Linked DNA regions of Daphnia pulex. The protein of the gene in region 4 interacts with the protein of the main gene of each other region in a biochemical or structural test. Links are inferred from orthologs where the notes say so. Each region holds a gene or a part of one and is shown on either strand. Other genes may lie near its edges.

Evidence for each region.
Region 1: the proteins of sterol regulatory element-binding protein 1-like (region 4) and F-box/WD repeat-containing protein 7-like form a complex in vitro, tested with the Homo sapiens proteins (3 studies listed by BioGRID, with this or other methods). The link is inferred for Daphnia pulex from reciprocal best matches to the Homo sapiens genes SREBF1 and FBXW7.
Region 2: of the proteins of sterol regulatory element-binding protein 1-like (region 4) and NAD-dependent protein deacetylase sirtuin-1-like, one has a biochemical effect on the other in vitro, tested with the Homo sapiens proteins (2 studies listed by BioGRID, with this or other methods). The link is inferred for Daphnia pulex from reciprocal best matches to the Homo sapiens genes SREBF1 and SIRT1.
Region 3: the proteins of sterol regulatory element-binding protein 1-like (region 4) and mediator of RNA polymerase II transcription subunit 23-like form a complex in vitro, tested with the Homo sapiens proteins (2 studies listed by BioGRID). The link is inferred for Daphnia pulex from reciprocal best matches to the Homo sapiens genes SREBF1 and MED23.

What each region holds. Positions count from the first base shown.
Region 1 is NC_060019.1:12,535,919-12,540,202, reverse strand, and holds the start of F-box/WD repeat-containing protein 7-like, read right to left. Parts: upstream 2,908-4,284; 5' UTR 2,530-2,907; intron 2,445-2,529; 5' UTR 2,316-2,444; coding exon 2,148-2,315; intron 2,081-2,147; coding exon 1,932-2,080; intron 1,773-1,931; coding exon 1,415-1,772; intron 1,351-1,414; coding exon 1,165-1,350; intron 1,100-1,164; coding exon 701-1,099; intron 634-700; coding exon 454-633; intron 356-453; coding exon 174-355; intron 97-173; coding exon 1-96. UniProt on the Homo sapiens protein: Substrate recognition component of a SCF (SKP1-CUL1-F-box protein) E3 ubiquitin-protein ligase complex which mediates the ubiquitination and subsequent proteasomal degradation of target proteins.
Region 2 is NC_060021.1:10,714,367-10,718,878, reverse strand, and holds the start of NAD-dependent protein deacetylase sirtuin-1-like, read left to right. Parts: upstream 1-1,440; 5' UTR 1,441-1,526; coding exon 1,527-1,629; intron 1,630-1,962; coding exon 1,963-2,086; intron 2,087-2,159; coding exon 2,160-2,421; intron 2,422-2,481; coding exon 2,482-2,604; intron 2,605-2,668; coding exon 2,669-2,862; intron 2,863-2,920; coding exon 2,921-3,339; intron 3,340-3,409; coding exon 3,410-3,527; intron 3,528-3,591; coding exon 3,592-3,863; intron 3,864-3,927; coding exon 3,928-4,118; 3' UTR 4,119-4,512. Other genes in the region: neuropeptide FF receptor 2-like, read right to left, coding at 69-247, 311-341, 403-675. UniProt on the Homo sapiens protein: NAD-dependent protein deacetylase that links transcriptional regulation directly to intracellular energetics and participates in the coordination of several separated cellular functions such as cell cycle, response to DNA damage, metabolism, apoptosis and autophagy.
Region 3 is NC_060019.1:10,887,757-10,892,149, forward strand, and holds the start of mediator of RNA polymerase II transcription subunit 23-like, read right to left. Parts: upstream 2,867-4,393; 5' UTR 2,770-2,866; intron 2,600-2,769; 5' UTR 2,512-2,599; intron 2,289-2,511; 5' UTR 2,068-2,288; intron 1-2,067. UniProt on the Homo sapiens protein: Required for transcriptional activation subsequent to the assembly of the pre-initiation complex. Component of the Mediator complex, a coactivator involved in the regulated transcription of nearly all RNA polymerase II-dependent genes.
Region 4 is NC_060018.1:511,889-516,422, forward strand, and holds the start of sterol regulatory element-binding protein 1-like, read left to right. Parts: upstream 1-1,518; 5' UTR 1,519-1,643; exon of another isoform or gene 1,644-1,749; 5' UTR 1,750-1,795; coding exon 1,796-1,859; intron 1,860-1,926; coding exon 1,927-2,009; intron 2,010-2,078; coding exon 2,079-2,636; intron 2,637-2,697; coding exon 2,698-2,840; intron 2,841-2,900; coding exon 2,901-3,012; intron 3,013-3,076; coding exon 3,077-3,281; intron 3,282-3,346; coding exon 3,347-3,534; intron 3,535-3,621; coding exon 3,622-3,917; intron 3,918-4,034; coding exon 4,035-4,383; intron 4,384-4,470; coding exon 4,471-4,534.

The DNA.
Region 1 (4,284 bases), on a different chromosome or scaffold from region 4:
CGTACGGCAGCGACGTGACCAACAAGAACATGTAAACATTCGCCCGTCTCAACATCCCATACACGTAACGTTGCATCCCGTGACCCGCTCACCACCCTACATTCATTTTTGATCAAGGAAAACAGTTGAATTAGTAAGAGTGCTTGCTACAAATATCTGATAAAAAGACTGACTTATTTCCGTGTAAATGCATGCAACGGACAGTGGAGGTGTGGCCGTATAATGTGTGCAAACACTGTCCAGACTCAGCGTTCCAGACTTTTAAGGTTCTGTCTGTACTCCCGCTGACTATAATATTTCCCTGCATTTGAGAGGACCAAACGCCTCCCGTATGTCCCTGCAGAGTCCTCATGCACTGTTGAGTGAAATGACAATTAAATGGTTGTCTGTTCTTAAGACATTTCGCGTTTTTAAAGTCTTTGTCCTGTCTAGGCAGAAAGCCCAATGAATTACCTTTCCCGTAGTAGCCGACCAGACTTTGAGCGTGTTGTCATCCGATCCCGAAACGATGCGGTTTCCGCAAAACTGTAAGCAGGTGATGACGTGATCGTCATGACCTTTCAATACCCTTGGCTGTGGGATCGGCCTCACTCGCCAATTCAACTCAATATTTCGGTGACGCATATAAGTCGCCTGAAAATGCAACGAATCAATATTATCTTGCAACCTATTAACGTTTAAGCCAGATTGATCTATTCACCTTCCAGGGTGACGGAGTAATAATTGGTGCATTGTTTTGGCTAGATCCGGTGGGGGAAGAAAGACCACAACTGAGAGATGAGTGGTGGGAAGATCCGCGAAGACGTCGCTTATTTAGAGTATCACGAACGTCATCGATACCCGCTTCACGACATTTTTCTCGCCAGAGGAGATTATCTTCAGCCAAGACTCTCCAACAACGGCAGGTTTGTGCGGCGCGAGTCAAGTCGCGAGGCGTGAGGAAACTGAGAACATACAGAGCCAGTTCTTTGGGCAGCAGCGATATGAAATCGCGTTGGAACTGTGGTTCAATAACAGCCATCATGTGACGGACCTGAGTGGGTTCACACAGCTCTATCAGTTGGTCAATGGCACATAAACGCTCAGCGTTCGACCAGTACTGCAATGATAACAAATGGTTTTTCTTAGCAATGAGTTAGTGGTTGAGAGAATGACGAAAAATACTTGGAACGTGTGAAGCCACTGGCAAAATCCTGGCGGAGGATTGTCTTTCGAGGGAATCGGATTACGGTGAACATGGCAGTAGATTGACGAGGAAGATGAATCAACACCTTCACCCCTTCGACATGTTTTTTTCTCCGTGGCTACTTCAGCTGCCATCTCAGCTGTCGACTCCGACTTGCGCTTGGTCTACAACACACCACCTTAATTAAATTCATGTTCTTAATAACAAATAAGTGTTGGATAAACTTACAGCTCCTGGTCTGGCGACGTCATCATTCTCCGAGGTGGGTGATTCCTCTTTAACGGATACATTGCTGGCGTCGTTGGCAGGAGCAGTAGGTGTCGATGATGTAGGTGTTGTGGGGAGAGGAGGAGGCGATTGAATGATGCTATCGTTGCTCCGAGTCTGTCGAAGCGAAGGCGATTTGCCAACGGGCAGTGGATTTATTCTGCTTGTTGACCGGCGCTGCCTCAAACGGCAAGCACCCCATTCGTTGCTGCTGCTACTTCCACTGTCGTTTTGCTGGTCTTCTGTCGCGTTATCACTTGAACTAGATATCACTGGTGTGGTGCTCGGAGTCGGTTGAGCGCTTGTATTATCACTGCTTCTAGGGCAACAACAAAACATGTTTAGAATCAAATGACGCATTTTTGCCTAATCCAAAGAACAAAGGCTTAGATAAGAGTAACAATAAAGAAATATACCTACACTAATAGCAAAACCATGAGAAGGGGGTATAAATTTAGTATTGTATAACACTATTTACCTGCTCCGAGTGTTGGCTTTTCTTGCATTCACCTGAGACGACTGAGCTGGTACTGATATTGTTAGTATCTGACGATTGGCTTCAATCAAATTTGTCCCCACACCTGGAGCCAGACTTAGATCTTCGATGGATGTAAATCCTCCAAGGGACTACAAAGGAAAAACACATGTCAAAACCATATAAAACACACTGGTGTTGGGTTAATCCTAAACTTACATTTCTGGTTTCCACAATGGCTTCAGCTCTGCTGCGTCCAACTCCAACCAAGGTGGAAAGCTCTTCAACAGTAGCCACATTGATGTCTACCAGGTTTCTCTGAGCTAGACTTTCATTAGCAGTGTCGCCCATGCCCCTCCCACTACTCCGTCCTCTGGACGCTGGCATAAATTATTTCTGCTGGGTTTCTGACTGCTACGTAAGCTAGAGATTGAGAAGCTGAGCTATTACTAGGAAACCAAAACACAGCTGCCTAGACAACAACTCATATCCTCAATTAAACACTAGTCATCTCATCTGCCAAGAAAGAAGATTCAATGTTGTTAATAAAGGTTTCTTTTTATAACAATAATGAAACAAAGCAAGAATGATTCACACTTACCGTCGATAAAAATCCAGTGAAAAGTGCAGCGAAAATTATAATGGCGTTACGAGTCAAAAAGTGCAATCAAAATAAAAGTAGAATCTTTTTAATGATATGGGCGAGGGCTTGATAGTGTGTAGTGTTTTGGGAACAAGGGCAGACCTTTAAAATGCGATTTTGAAAATATTCCGCAAGCACGGGTGGGCAAAAACAACTTAATCAAATAAAGGATTTAAAATAGAAAAAATCTAGCACTAAAATGATTCGGGCATTTCGATTTCACAAAGAGCGTAAATATAGAAAAAAATTTGTACACGAGGATCAGCATCAAAGAGAATTTTGTTTCACACGAATGGTGAAGCCGAGACAGACAACGATATATGCTGGACTAAAAAGCGTTGCCAAATTGCTTGTTAACATTTCCCAGTTGCTGGACGCGCCCTGTGGTCGTCATCACATGCGCTTTTTTCTTTATTTCGCTTAGAATCTCGTAGCAAAACCCACTTGACACGTTTACAGTGTTACTATCGAATTTATAGTGGTAATTATTATCCTTTTTTAAACAACAAAGCTAGGCGGTTTTTTAAAGGCCAATACGTGGGCCTACCTCATTTCATCTTTCCCGCCTTTCTTTGTACATACATCCCCCACCCTTAATAATATTTTTGTATTGCATTACTATCAAAGAGTATTATATCATATTTTTTTTTAAGTTTCTAACTGTTCAGTTCTTGAAACTTCAACGGATCATCATCGCTATTCATCGTTCCCCCTCCTGAAATGTCCCCCTTGAATCTCTTCATACCATCAGCCCTTTACAGATCCAACTGAATTAAAGCCACAATTTCAATAACAATGGAAGTTTTGGTGCAAATTGTTTCTCAAGCATTTCAACTCTGTTGAAAACGTTACTGCGTAATGTTGAGTTCTAGTTCTCTCATACGGTTGGACGAAAGTTGAACCCGATTCAACCAATAGCCAGTTAAGTATTCATCCAACTAAATTGTGTATCTATATTTTTGTACACATTATAGCAGCTACGCAGTGTTAAAGGGCGCCCGAATCTTGCTTTTTCTAGCTATCGCTAGATGACTCGCGATGAATTATAAACGTTCGATATAAGAAATTCAAACTGCTACTTACGCGATATCTCGCAGGTTTTTTAAAAGTTGAAGGTTCGTCCTCATTAATAATATAATTGTAACAAATTTTCGTTTTTCTCTGATTGTTACAATATTCAATTCCGTTTATTGCCCCATGACATTCAAAATTTCTCGGATTCGGAGTGATAGCTGCTACCGTATTAGCATTAACTTTTCAAAAAGATCATTAGTAAGCGCAGCACAAAACATTCGGTGATCTTGTGTTGAATGTTGAATTCGCTCTTTCATCGGGCATTATCGTCGCTTCCCCAGTCATGAAAATAGGTCGCTCATTGAATTGCCAAGAAACTTTGATGCACATTTTGTGTGGGCATTGAGAAATCTATATATTTTTTAATAAACCAGCAATTGGTCTTTGACCGGTTCATTTAAGTGCAGAAGCACCGGATTGAAGAGGTGTGAGGTTAGGCGCGCCTATTTAAACAATGGAGTCGTCGTTGCAGCTAACGAACATACGTTGCGTCATTTGATAGTGTTCGATTGTGAATGACGAACGAGACCAACATGCGCTACGGTTTACTGGGTCTGTTTTATGTTGAAACTATTTTATATTGAAAATGTTATTTGAAATGTTAAACAGGCACATGGACTCAACACGTGAACGATATAA
Region 2 (4,512 bases), on a different chromosome or scaffold from region 4:
ATTGGCGGCGGCAGATGATATAACACCCTAAATAATTCTGATCAATTTAAAATGCTTCTTGGTCGTACTTTATAGACGCGGGCTGCGATGAGTGGAGAGGCGATGGCCGCTGAAAGGATCCAGATGACTCCGCAAATAATGTAGGCTGCCGATTGGCCCATCCGCGGGCGGAATGGAAATGCGATGGCAAAGAAACGATCAAAGCTTACGGCCAGCAAGCTGAAGACGTCCACCAACATCAGCATCACTTTTGATTTGAAATATATGAATTACTTGCCAGTTTTTTTTTTAAAATGAAGCTTTGAATTACCTCTTAAAAATCCCTCGGTTCGACAAATAACCTTCCCAAAAATGTAATGGAAATTATAATTATTTGATAATAAAACTGACTGGTTTTGAAACCTCTCCGAGAATGAACATCTGGTAGAGATCGATGATTAAAATTATCCACGGGATGAGTAGGATAGTTAAAAGATCGGCGATGGCCAAATTCCAAATGAAGATGTTGATGGAAGTGCGCAAAAATCGATTGGTGGCCATGAGGTAAACCACCAAACCGTTTCCAAGCAGACTGATGATAATGACAGGAACGAAGAATCCGATTTTCAAGGCGCACTCCCAGGTGGGACGGACAATCCACAAAGGAAATGGGAAGTTGACGTTTGAAAAATCCATTCCTGTGAAAGTCTGAAATTCGCACGAACGACTTGAGTTCGGTTATTACGTGTGGGAAAACAATGAATTCACTTACATTGAAAAAAGTAGTAATTCCTTGCTTGTCGGAAGGTAAATCCAGCAACTGAGCTCTGCTGTTGTTTATCAAGCCTGATCGTTCTCGACTGGAGTCAAGTACTTACCGGATCCCGCAGCACTAATAATCCTCACACACACTCAGCGCAATTGTTGTGACGCACGCTTTCAAACAAGAGCGGCCATATCGGGCGGCCCCGTGTGCTATGCCTATCAGATTTAATTAAGTTCGTCAAATCGCTAGACCATGTTTTACAACTTTTGGGGGTATAACGCACCGCGGGCCGGCTCACCCCTATGCGATTTGGTTTTATGGTCCACGAATATTATAAGTCAGTCAAACCTCGGGGTCGCTTCTCTAGTACAAATGCCATACGTGAATTATTTTCCCGATATCGCGTAACCTCATTCGTGATGTTTAGTACATCTTGAACTAATTTTTTTCTCAGTTTAATTTGGTGATACTGCATTTCTGATAAACCTCCTATTAAAAAAAAAATTATAATCAGCAGCTTTCCTCCTTATGCGAAAATCACAATGCCTTATCTGAACCGCAACGTGCGGAAAGTGGACTAAGGTTGATATAAAAGCTCGACAAGGAAAGGCCTTGAATTAATTCCCTTCCTATTTCATGTATACATGTCCTTGCGCATATTTTCTTCCGGTTTCGGGACGAATTCGATTCATACTGGCAACGCTGACCTGCCACCTGGCGGCCCGAAATTTGTGAAGAAGAAGAAGCGCCCTCTACCCCACGATCGACGGAAGACGAAGCAATGGCCGACGAACAAGGCGAGAACTTTCACAGTCCCGTAAAACGAAGCAGAACTTTGCTGCCGATTGACATCTCACAGTCCTTTATTGAGGGCCAACAGCTTTGTAAGTACCCGTTTGATCGATTTCATTCATTTAATGTACTTGTGAACCTAATCAAAATTGTTAGCAAAAGATTGCATTCGGTTTTGAGGTAAATGGCCTTTTGCTTCGTTAGTGCGGCCATTGGCGGATGGGGGGGGGGGAGGGGAGACGCCCTTCTTTTTGGTCGATTGCTGCGTTGCCAAAATTTTGGGGCGGCATGTTTGAATGTCATAACAGTGTGATGACACTTGTCAAATACTGTTTTGGTTTCTTGAGTTGAAATTTCTTGATGGCTGTAGAGTTGATCCATTGTGAGCTTACTTGAAATATTTTTTTTTTTTTTTTAAATTTCAGCAAATGATGCAGGACAACTAGGAAGCTGTGAAATGTTCAACGCTGGGGATTCAGGCTTCAGCGAGTTAACGTCTTTAGCCAGCAGCGAGGATGAAAATCTCACTAATGATTTACCATCTACCAGGTAATGTGGACTAATGTCTTCTTTTTATTGTGTACAAACATATGGTCTAACTTTATTATTTATTTATTTGTAGCTATGCTTTGCCAGCCATTCAAGATGCTGATGATTCAATGGGCAATTTGGAGAAAGATGATGATACCTCCTCAGATAGTGATGTTTCAGACATAAGTGGGTTGAGTGACTTGAGCAATCATGACTGGGAGCCATCATCAGGGACGATGTCTTGGGTGCAACAACAGATGCTTCTTGGTACCAATCCTCGAACCATCCTGAATGAGTTGGTACCAAATGATGCTCAAATCCCCACCCATCTTGACGATGTCACCCTTTGGAAGGTAAAATTATAAATTTGTAGCATTGTCAAGGCAACTAATCATAATTATTGAATAAAACAGATAATCGTGAATATTGTCAGTGAACCTCCAAGGCGGGAACGTTTACGCCACATAAATGCAATATCCGATGCCGTCAGATTACTCCGTAGCTGTAAAAAGATTCTAGTTCTTACAGGAGCAGGGGTAATTTTTTTTTTTTTTTTTATAAAATAATTTACCTCATTATATTTGAACAAATTTTGTTTAGGTTTCTGTTTCCTGTGGTATTCCCGACTTTCGTAGCCGTGATGGAATTTACGCTCGCTTAGCCGTCGACTTCCCTGACTTGCCCGATCCTCAAGCTATGTTTGATATCCATTACTTCCGAAAAGATCCCCGACCGTTCTTTAAATTCGCCCGAGACCTTTGGCCAGGACAGTTTACACCTTCTAAATGCCACAAGTAAACAAATTCTCTTGACAATTTTGAAATTTCGCTAATGAAACGATATTTTGTTTAGGTTCATTCGTTTGCTAGAGAAACAAAACAAGCTTTTGCGCAACTACACGCAAAACATAGATACACTAGAACAACAAGCAGATATCGAAAGGGTTATCCAATGTCATGGCTCGTTTGCTACTGCCACTTGCCTGCGCTGCCAACATCGCGTCCCCTCGAACGAGATAGAAAAAGACATAATGGAACAACGCATTCCACTTTGTCCGAAATGCTCGGATGTGTCGAAAAATGAAGACGAGGCCAGTACATCGTCGTCGGTGGCATTATCGGCCCAGCCGATCATGAAGCCTGACATTGTTTTCTTTGGAGAAGGAATGCCAGACGAATTTCACCGCGCTATGGTACTCGATAAAGAAGAATGTGACCTGATAATCGTGATTGGGTCATCGCTCAAAGTCCGCCCTGTCGCACTCATCCCATGTAAGTTATTTTAAATGTCATCTTGTAACCTTAAAGTTCATATGCAATAAGTTTCTCTTGATTCAAATAGGCGCCCTACCGAATCATGTTCCGCAAATTCTTATCAATCGCGAACCTCTCCGCCACATGGTCTTTGATGTTGAACTGCTTGGGGACTGCGATATTATCGTCAACCAACTGTGTCATTTGTTAGTATACAGTAATTTTCATCAGCCAAATTTGTTGTCTCATCAATCTTCTTGTAACAATCAGACTGGGTACACAATGGAAAGATGACATTTGTTACCGCGAACCTCTAACAGAGATCAGTCGCCTACCACCACGCCCCACTCCTTCTGTCGCCGTACCTGCACCCATTTTCCCCAAAAGAGATCAAGACGATCCTTTACGCCGGGACAGTGGGATGTCTACAGGAAGCTTAGAAATGGAATCAGCCGAGTCTGGTGATGTTGAACCAGTTACTCATGACATGACCGGATGGTGGGAGCCGCGAATCAAAGTGAATCTTGCCGATCAACTCCCAGGTAATTTATTTTTGTTCGGTTGTTGTCTATGTCATCTATATGCATTTCCTTGCATAAAATTCAGAAAACACTTATCTCACCGTCCAACCTGGTCGATACCTGTTTCCTGGTGCTGAACTCTTCTATGACCCAGACGAAGAGGTAGAGTCCGATTCTGACTCATCCTCTGATTCCAGCGATTCGTCTGGAATTGATGGAGGAGATTCAACTCAACCTTTCCCGGAGCATGGAGTAAAAAGGAAAGCGATGGATTGACGACGTATTCCGAAGCAACGACAAAGCTTCTGTTTTTACCATTGTTATGTTAACAATATGGATTCTATTTAAAAGCTTCAAGCGTGTGTATATAGACGAAATCTCTCGATGGTATTTAGTATTTCTTTTTTTTCCTGTATTATGGATAAGGGGAAGTGGAATTTTCATTTTTCTGTGAAATCTTGGCAAGCTGTTCTGAAATGTTCAGTGCAATCTACCTCACCAATCTTCAAGAAATAATGGCCATTATCTATTGCACCTGCAGAAAGGTGGTCGGCTATGTCGGGTACCGGGAGAGGGTGAGCATGAACTATTGATTAAATTTCAAATATTTCCCTTAAATTACTTTGAAATGTTCTACTAAATGTATGTATGTCTTGTCTGTATTCGCGTT
Region 3 (4,393 bases), on a different chromosome or scaffold from region 4:
TATGTCGGGAAATATTTTCTCAAATTAAAATCCAAAATCCCCTTATAACTCTGAAGAACAAGGAGATGATTAACGTTATTTCTGACATTAATTAATCAAACAAAGAATACAAAATAAAAACTGCAAGGAAATTTGTCTTTCACGATGACTCGACTGGCAAGTCAGACGAACAGAAATGTGCCTACGTGATATCCAATGTGAGAATCACGCTATTAAAGCACATAGACACTCGCCGAAATGAATGCTAAATCATTCTTCACCTGACGGCCCTCAAAGCGGAAAGCTTGAGGATGTTGTAAAGGTGTTTAAAAATTCGCATCGCGAACGATTCGAACATTATTTCGAAGGTCACCTTCAATGCTTTATTTGCTTTCGATTGCAACTGTGTTTGTGTGAACGCCAAATTAATTTTTCTAAGCCTCGTATTCGCATTTCGCAGTGCTCCGGCTTGCAAAAGATACAAAATGATTAAATATTTAATTTGCGAATGAATCCGGTGAATCAAATCGGTACAATATTTCGATTTTCAAAACGCCACACCTAGTTTTCTCTGCAATGTGTCAAAGGTCCTTTAAAGTCAATGTCAATGAAAAAGCTAATGTAAACTTGTCTGAGACCGGTCGGCTGGAAGATGTTTTTTTTGTTAATAGTTTAAAGCTATATTCAGCAAATGCCACATCGCCTTTTCCGGTTTTCATCGAGTTCTACCTTTTTCTTTGTCATGAGATTTACGTATATGGTGGTTATCGCTGTGTCAAAGTGCCTAACAGAGTCCAAACTCCTTTTTAAGATTTTTGCCCTTGGAGTTTTATTCGCCTTCATTCACTACGACAACATCCCGACACAAAGAACTCGAGGAAGTAGAATCTCCCGAGCCGCATATGTGCTGCAACACGTCGTATTGTTGTAAGATTGATGACCGGTACAATTAAAGCAAAGCAGAAAAATGTGGCGACAAGGAAAAATACAATAAATTAACTGTTTTCGAAAATTCTGAAACCCAAATTCGAAGAAAGTTAGAAGATAAAATCAAAGAAATTGTCGTGAAACCTGCCGAGATGTTTTCCCCATTGTGAACGAATGGTACACCGCCTGGTTGACAATAGGCGGCGGTGCTGGAATGGTAAATTAGGCCAATCATTATAGGTTTAGGCGTTTAGCCAACATTTGCTAAAAGTGTGACTATCCGCTATCTCTATTGTGTGAACAATATATTATAGTATCTTTGCAAATTAGTCGACTTATACTGCCCTATTTCCAAACAACACCTGAAGTTGTTTTACGTGAAAGTGTAAAATGTCGAGTTAGCAAGTCACTTTACCGAGAACAATTTCGTCGAAGAAGAGGAGAAACAATGTGAACAAAAAATTGTCAACTCAAAATAGGACAATAACGCGGGTGTCAACGTGTGAGGTAAATTGACAATAAGCGTGACCGGAAAAACCCGTGGTTGCGAAATGGCGTTGAGAGAACCACCACTTAATTGTTTTTGGCGCGCCCCTCATCGACTCACGCACAAGTGTGACGTCAAACAATGAATGTTGATGACGTCAAGTGAATAAAAAAAAAATTGTGGCTGACGGAGGCAATTTTCCTGAGGCGAACGAAACCGGGGAAAAATAATGACGTCAGCGTTGTGCATCGAATTTCTTTAACCGTCATGCTGGAAGGTTCCTCGAACAGGATTTGTTGGATAAAACTAGCAGGTTTCTCTTGGGAAAAAAAATAAATTCTAGTTGCACTTTGCTGGAAGTGTTTAAAGTTCAAATATTTTTTTATTTGAGGTTTGTGAACCAACAACAGACAAAGTTGTAAGGTACAAAACTGGGTCTGACCTGCAGTCGTTCTGCAACACTAAAATTTAATGAACTCTTACTTACTGAGTAAACAAAAACTTCGCCTAAATGAACCCTTACTGAGTTATAGTGAGTAAACAAAAACCGCAAGAGAACCTACTCCAGTTAACCGCATCTAGCTCAGGAATAATCGTACTCCGTAGGCTACTATGTCACGATTTAACACCAACAAACAGTCAAAAAATAAAGAATAGGAATACATTTTTCCTACCTTCAGGCCTGGGAAATATACGGACAGCGGGACAGGCATCCACAAGTGCTCTCCATCCATCCGCAGAATAATTGAATAGGATATTAAAGGGCGGCCTCGTGAATACACCCACACTCACATGGGCATACACGAGGCCGTTTAAAGAAAAGGGAAGAAGAGACCCGTAACATGGCCAACATCGATAGTTTCTCAATCCAGAATCCAAACGGGATGCTGTTAAACTAATTAAAAAAATAAGAAATGGGTTACGAAAAAATATCTGCAGAAACAACAAGCAAGGAATAGTTTAAAATGAGACAGTGAGTAAAACTTGATTGTTAATAAACAGACGGTTTACATGTAATACACTGCATTTTTGCAAGTCCTGCATTACATTGCACAATTAAAGTATCTAGCAGGTCACACACCACTCGAATAAAAGTAAGGTGTAATGAAAATCATTACCTAAGCGATGATGCTGAGATTGCTGCTGATGACAGGTCTATGGTTACATCATATCTTGTTGATGGCTGTCTCTGGCCTCAAATATGCACTAAGGAAAAGGTTACATAGTGAACAAACAAACTGCCATGCATCGACAGAGGGGCTTAAATGATAAATGCTGGTCAGGACGAACTAACATTTAAAAAAATTTGGAAAAGGTTTAATTCTTCGAAATTCAGTTTCTATAGTCATTCTATAGGTATTCTTAGTTTTATTTACCTGGTAATCAGCCGTGTGTACGAAGTGATTCTGTAAAGAGAGTAGGCCTAAGAGATGTGACCACAGAGTGGACACGACCACGTTTATTTCGAAACTAAACAAAACAAAAGCAGCAGACGACGCTAACTTCCTAATTAGCCATTTATTTCTTAAAATATCGATATAAATTATTTAAAAAATCCACAAATATAAAAAACACCCACTCAAAATACGATAAAAGTGGTTTTCCCACCCGCACTCGACATCCGCTAAAGGGATCGGAATTATTTTAGAATGATCTAATAACCCTACCACAGACAAGAAAAAAATTCAATATTTACACGAAACCCGCAGATAAATGACTGCCAAGAAGGAATAATTTCCTTCTTATCTTACAAACATATACAAACATAATACATACAAATACCAGGATATAATACCACCATGAACTTAAAAGGTTATATCCTTCAACTGTCGTTCGGGAAAATTCCGCTTGTAATAGCATTTCTTGCGTCCGTGTAAAATAATTCTTATCTTTACATACAAATACCAGGATATTATACTACTATCAACGTAAAAGGCTATATCCTTCAAATGTCGTTCGGGAAATAAGCTCAGCTTGTTGTGGCATTTTTTGAGACCGTATAAATTATCGGTCAAAAAAGCCTGAAATTTAAAAATTTGCGATCACGCATGAATTAACCCCAAGCGTTAAAGATATTTCGTCATCCTGTAACATCTTATACCCATCATGGACTTGTGCAAAAAAGCTCCAATAGAACTAGAAATTTGAAAAGGCCCTTCGACATTGAACACGAACTTTCACGCGACTTCATCTGCATACGAGCGCAGCAGCAGCAGTTTCAAGGGCGTGATGAGAAGAATTTCGAAATGTCAGCTGTAACACACGTTTAATGATTTTTCTTCTCAAGAAAACTTTGAGAATCTGGAAGAAAGAAACAAAAAAAGGTGTTTCCAATTTTTCACAACCAGTTCTCGATCTCAAATAAGAGATTTCGTTCGCAATCAACGCATTTTTTACCTCCAGGAAAATCGTTCGGGAACGACGACCAACAAGGAATTTGATGTCGCGATCTGTTGCCAAGGTCGACTCTACTTCACGCTCGAACCATATGTCTGCGTGAACTGCTGCTCTGTTCTTGCGTCCCACCTGCGACCTTGGTATAGGCAAACCAGTTACTGGCGGTTACCGGTATATATTCAAACTTGCTATTGCTTTGAGGATTCGCTCGGTTGAGCAAATATTGAACGCCAACATAGACATCCACACAAACCACAAATACATAGAAGAATAAATTTTCTTTTGGGAGGCGGCGAATTCGAAGTCTGCAGGCCGCAGGCTGTTTTTTCGTGATAGTGCCCATAAACATCAAAGCTTGCGCCTAGAGTTCCAGTCACGGACCGTTTGCTGGAGGGAGGAATTAGTCTAGTTACTATAAAAATTCAGAGTCCCTCTGAGACGGTTTCCTATTTGACAATCGCAGTTGTTAAAGAATTGGGATATATTACTAGCAACGCGAACCACTCAATACTTAACAGACAGACCGGAAACGGTGTGAAAGATACCCATGATAGACTGGTACTACTCCGTGAACCAATAAATATGACATTTTCGTGGACGTGA
Region 4 (4,534 bases):
CCACCGCAGAAGTACGTAGGTGGGAAGGAAACAAAAAAACAAATGGAGTCTGTCGTCCGTCACGACTCACGGACCGTCGCCCCATTTTCCCGTTGGATGATTAATAACCTAAATATAGCCCGGCGTCGTCATGATCAAGACATTTGTCGACTCGCTTTACTAGATGTTCCTCTCGCCAATAATTTGAATCGTCGTCGAACGAACAATCGACTTGGCCCTCGGCCACCGCACATTCCGGCATCCATCAAAACAATTGCCATTCCGCGCGGCATTATTATCCCCTGATGATGCGATCCATCAGAAGATGTGACTTGGCCTTTGCACTTTTTTTCTCCGGACTGTCGAAAATCCCGATGGAATGTTGGTTACAAAAATCCGACTAGATAGTCCGAAATGCGCTTTTCCCGTTCAAGCGCCTTTTTTCGTTTTAAACGTTAAAGTTTGAGAATGAGATTATTAAATGAAGGAAACGAAGCGAAATGGAAATCTTTAGCACGCCACCGTGTTTCCTGCGCAACACAAAAAGTCTCATTTCTTAATTACCGTCGTCAAACTTGCTGTGGATATCCTCCTCCTCCTCATATCCCGTTGATATTTGAAAGGTGCGCACGACTGATTCCTCCCCCGTCAAGTTCGCTTACTGCTACTGCTACTACTACCCCCCGTAGTGTATACACCGTAATTCTGTACTTGTATACACACACACACGCGAAAGTGTGGGTGCACATGGAAAGTTTTTGTCTCTATGAAACTCTGGCTGTTGCTGCAACCCGTCGACGGAAACGGGAGAGAAGGAAGAAGAAGAAAACGACGTCTCTTTTTTCCTGTTGTTTTCTTCGCTCGAGTTTGGTAATTGGATAGCAGTCGGGACAAGAGTCGGGACCGGTTCAACGAATGAACGTCAATCGGGCGACGAGTACAGTTCTCCGGTTCAACGGATCGAATTAGTTTTCTTCTCGTGACATTTGGTGGGACGACTCTTCGTCTGGCGTCTTCCTTCACGCGAGTCGACGAATTTCGCTCGACAAACGAGTTTTGCGTTAACACAGTTTAGATCTGTGATTTCCTGTTTATTATTTTATTTGTGTATTGTGAGTAAATGTTCTTTTGTATGCACTGGGAATGCGAAATGATGCGCCCAGCTCGCATCGTCGGTCGCAGTCGGCCCGAAATAGATCACCGTACGTTGCAACCGACCAAGGCTCTTCCGATTCCCAAATACGTCCCGAACACAATGTGTGTGTTTTTTGTTATGTCGGCAGTTGGAAAAACAACATCTGAATCCTTCAATTCGGTCGAAAATAGACAAGCGTTTGCCTCGAGAGGTAATACAACAATTTCCCCCCTCGGTTTCTTTTACGTCAGCGAGTATTTTAAAACATTCTTTGAAAATTCAAATGCTAACAACTCGGCCCACATTGCGAGAGGGCAAACAAGTGAAAAATTGTTAAGATCTCTCTTTTTCCTCTTTGGCTGCTGCGGGCAAAATTTTATTTCGAAAAATAATAGCAAACATAGGCAACGTCGCTCGGGCGATCATACGATGTTTTTCTTCTGTCATTGGACGGCCAGGAACTGGCGTGATTTGAAGCTCCACCTCTTACTGTCTGCATGCTGCAATAGTTAACGTCGTTGACCGAATAGTACGCGCTACAAAACCTTTAGTATTTGTGTTTTCGTAAATTCCAGAATACAAAATCGTCAGTCTTCTTCTCGGTTTTCCAATCGAATACACGTCATGTTTTTTAGTAGGTGATTACCCACACACTGAAGACTGTTATTGTTGTTTCCTGCCATGGATACGTCAAATCGCGCCGATGATATGGATTTGGAATTGAACTTTCCTACTGATTTAGGAGGTAATAAAAAAAGTATCTTTTGATGTCTGTTGATAACAAATACTAAAACGTTTGTCCATCTATACAGAGTTGTTTCCTCATGAGGATTCCGAACTTATCGATTTGGCTGGAGAAGATTTGTTTTCATCTTTTGGCCCTGTCTCTCCACCAGTAAGTTTTTAAAAAGTTTTGAAATTTGTCTAATCATATTTGTTTTAATGTGATGTTTTGAACATTAAGGCTCACAACTTTCACCAACAGAAACCTGCCGTTCTCCATCCTCCTCCTGTGGCAACCCAACCTCCCATCATTCCAGTTTCTGTTGTCGAAGTTAAACCAATTCAACAAAGATTGATTCAGACAGTTCCAGTGACAAAAATTGTACCAACAATATCACCTCAGCCTGTATTGAAACAAGCTCCGATACAGACAAAAAGTGTCCCCCAACACATCCAGCCAGCCCAGACTGTATTGGTAAACAAAACCAATCCGCAGGGCACTGTTGGCACTCCTATTCGAGTGGATACAAATTCCCTGGGTGTCTTGATTCTTGGCAACACTTTTGGCTATAATAGTGTTGTCACTGTTCAACCAAATGGCGGTCTCGTCAACGTCAACCAATCTGCTGTTTTAGGATCAGCAAACATGTTTAATGGCAATTCTAATCCACCAAGCCCAACTCATGGGCCACCTGTCATTAAGAAGAGTTCCCACAATGCCATTGAAAGAAGATACAGAAACAGCATCAATGACAAGATACTGGAATTAAAAAACCTAATTGCTGGTGAAGAAGCTAAGGTGTGACTGGTTGTAACTCGACTGAAAGATTTTTTTATTTAATTTATCTTATTGTCCATAGATGAGCAAGTCTGCCATCCTTAGGAAAGCTCTGGAATATGTGCGCTACCTCCAGCAAATGAATCAAAAGCTAATCAAGGAAAATATGGCTCTAAAAATGGCATCTCAAAAGCAAACTGTCAATGGTTTATTGACAGCTTCGATGTAAATATACTTGTTTTATATTGTCGGTATAAAAGCTAAAGGTTTATCGTTCGAATGCAGGGATAGTCCTCCAATTGACATTACACCTCCAGGATCGCTGGAAAATTCGACGTCGGCCGAATCGCCACCCAGCAGTTTTGGTAGCGGATCTCCTTTAACTTATGCGGCTTCGGTAAGCGACAGATTTTAATTTTTTAAATTGATTGATGGTTTTAATTGCTTCAATTTCCGTGCAGTCTGACGACGAGTTTACCATTGACGGAAACATGGTATCGCCCGGAAACGTTATTGCTCAATCGATGCTGGATCGTTCGCGTATTGCCCTTTGCATGATGATGCTGGCCGTGTTCGCATTTAATCCGTTCGGCAAGTTCCTGTCGCATGCAGACTCTGCCGTCTCCCATTACAGCAAACCGTCCGGTCGTGTTATCCTGGAAGCTGGTAAACGTTTTGTTACTTGAATTGCTATCATGACATGCAATCAAAATGTATTCATTTGGTTTCAGATCCCCTCGATCTCGGAGATGATTCTGGATGGTTCCTCTCATTTGCCGCTGTTGGGATTAACATTTTGGTTTTCCTCTTTGTCCTCCTCCGCACTCTTGTTCATGGAGAGCCGTACATTGAACGCCAGAGCAAAGCGGCTTCGCTCTACTGGAGACAGAGGAAACAAGCTGATTGCGACATGAACAATGTAAAAGCTATTTAGGCTCGTTGTTTGTGGTCGGTATTCCCAAACTAAACTTTCCCCTCTCTGGTACTATTGTCTCGTTAAATTCAGGGAAACTACGTAACTGCAGCCACTCACTACCGACAAGCCCTTTGCGCCTTAGGTCGGACAGTGCCCGTATCTAAAGTCGATGTTGTGGCTAGCGTCGGATGGAATTGTTGGCGTCAGCTGTTGCATCGCTTCGGATTTACCCGCTTTCTCAGCGGCCGTGTTGGCAAACTTTTCCTGAATCGCGATGAACGCCGAGTGGCCCGTGAGTTTCTAGCGGAAGCCGCCCTTTGTTTTCACAAACTTCACCAGCTGCATCTTAGTCAGCAGGACGTCATTGATCCCAACAGCCACTACTGGTAATTCGATCTTTTGATTTTTGAGTTTAAATTGATAACAGAGAGATAAAAACTAACGATTGGACGGACTCGTGCCTGTGTGTATTTGTTATTTATTTGTTATTAATCTTTTTTAAGGTTCGAGCGCTATCGTGGCTTGGCTTTAGCCCTGTCTGCTACAAATCTCGGCGAAGCTGCCGGCCCTGCACTGAGTGCCATGTCCAAGGCGGATATTTACATTCATCTGGCGCTACGAACGAAACACTCGTTTAGTGGGCGAGGTTTCTTGTGCGCTCGCTTCTATTTAGCCCGCGCTCGCCAAATCTGTCAGGCTCTCAACGGCAACGCCCCTCCCCGTCTGCAGTGGCTCTGCAGTCCGGCCGGCTATCGTTTCTTCCTCAGTCATCATTGGGAGTACGACGATTTCCCCTCGACTTTGTTCACCTCTCTGGGCAACAAGTCTGATCCTTTGGCTTTTACCATGCAGGTTCGACATTTTTGTCAACAAGTTTTTTTTTCCTTTTTTCCTTATCATCAGTCGAAATTATAATCATCATTGTCTGTGTGATTGCAGGTCTATCGTCAGCACGTCCTACAGAAAGCTCTATTGACGTTAGTTTCGCCCGGTCGGCGTGTTG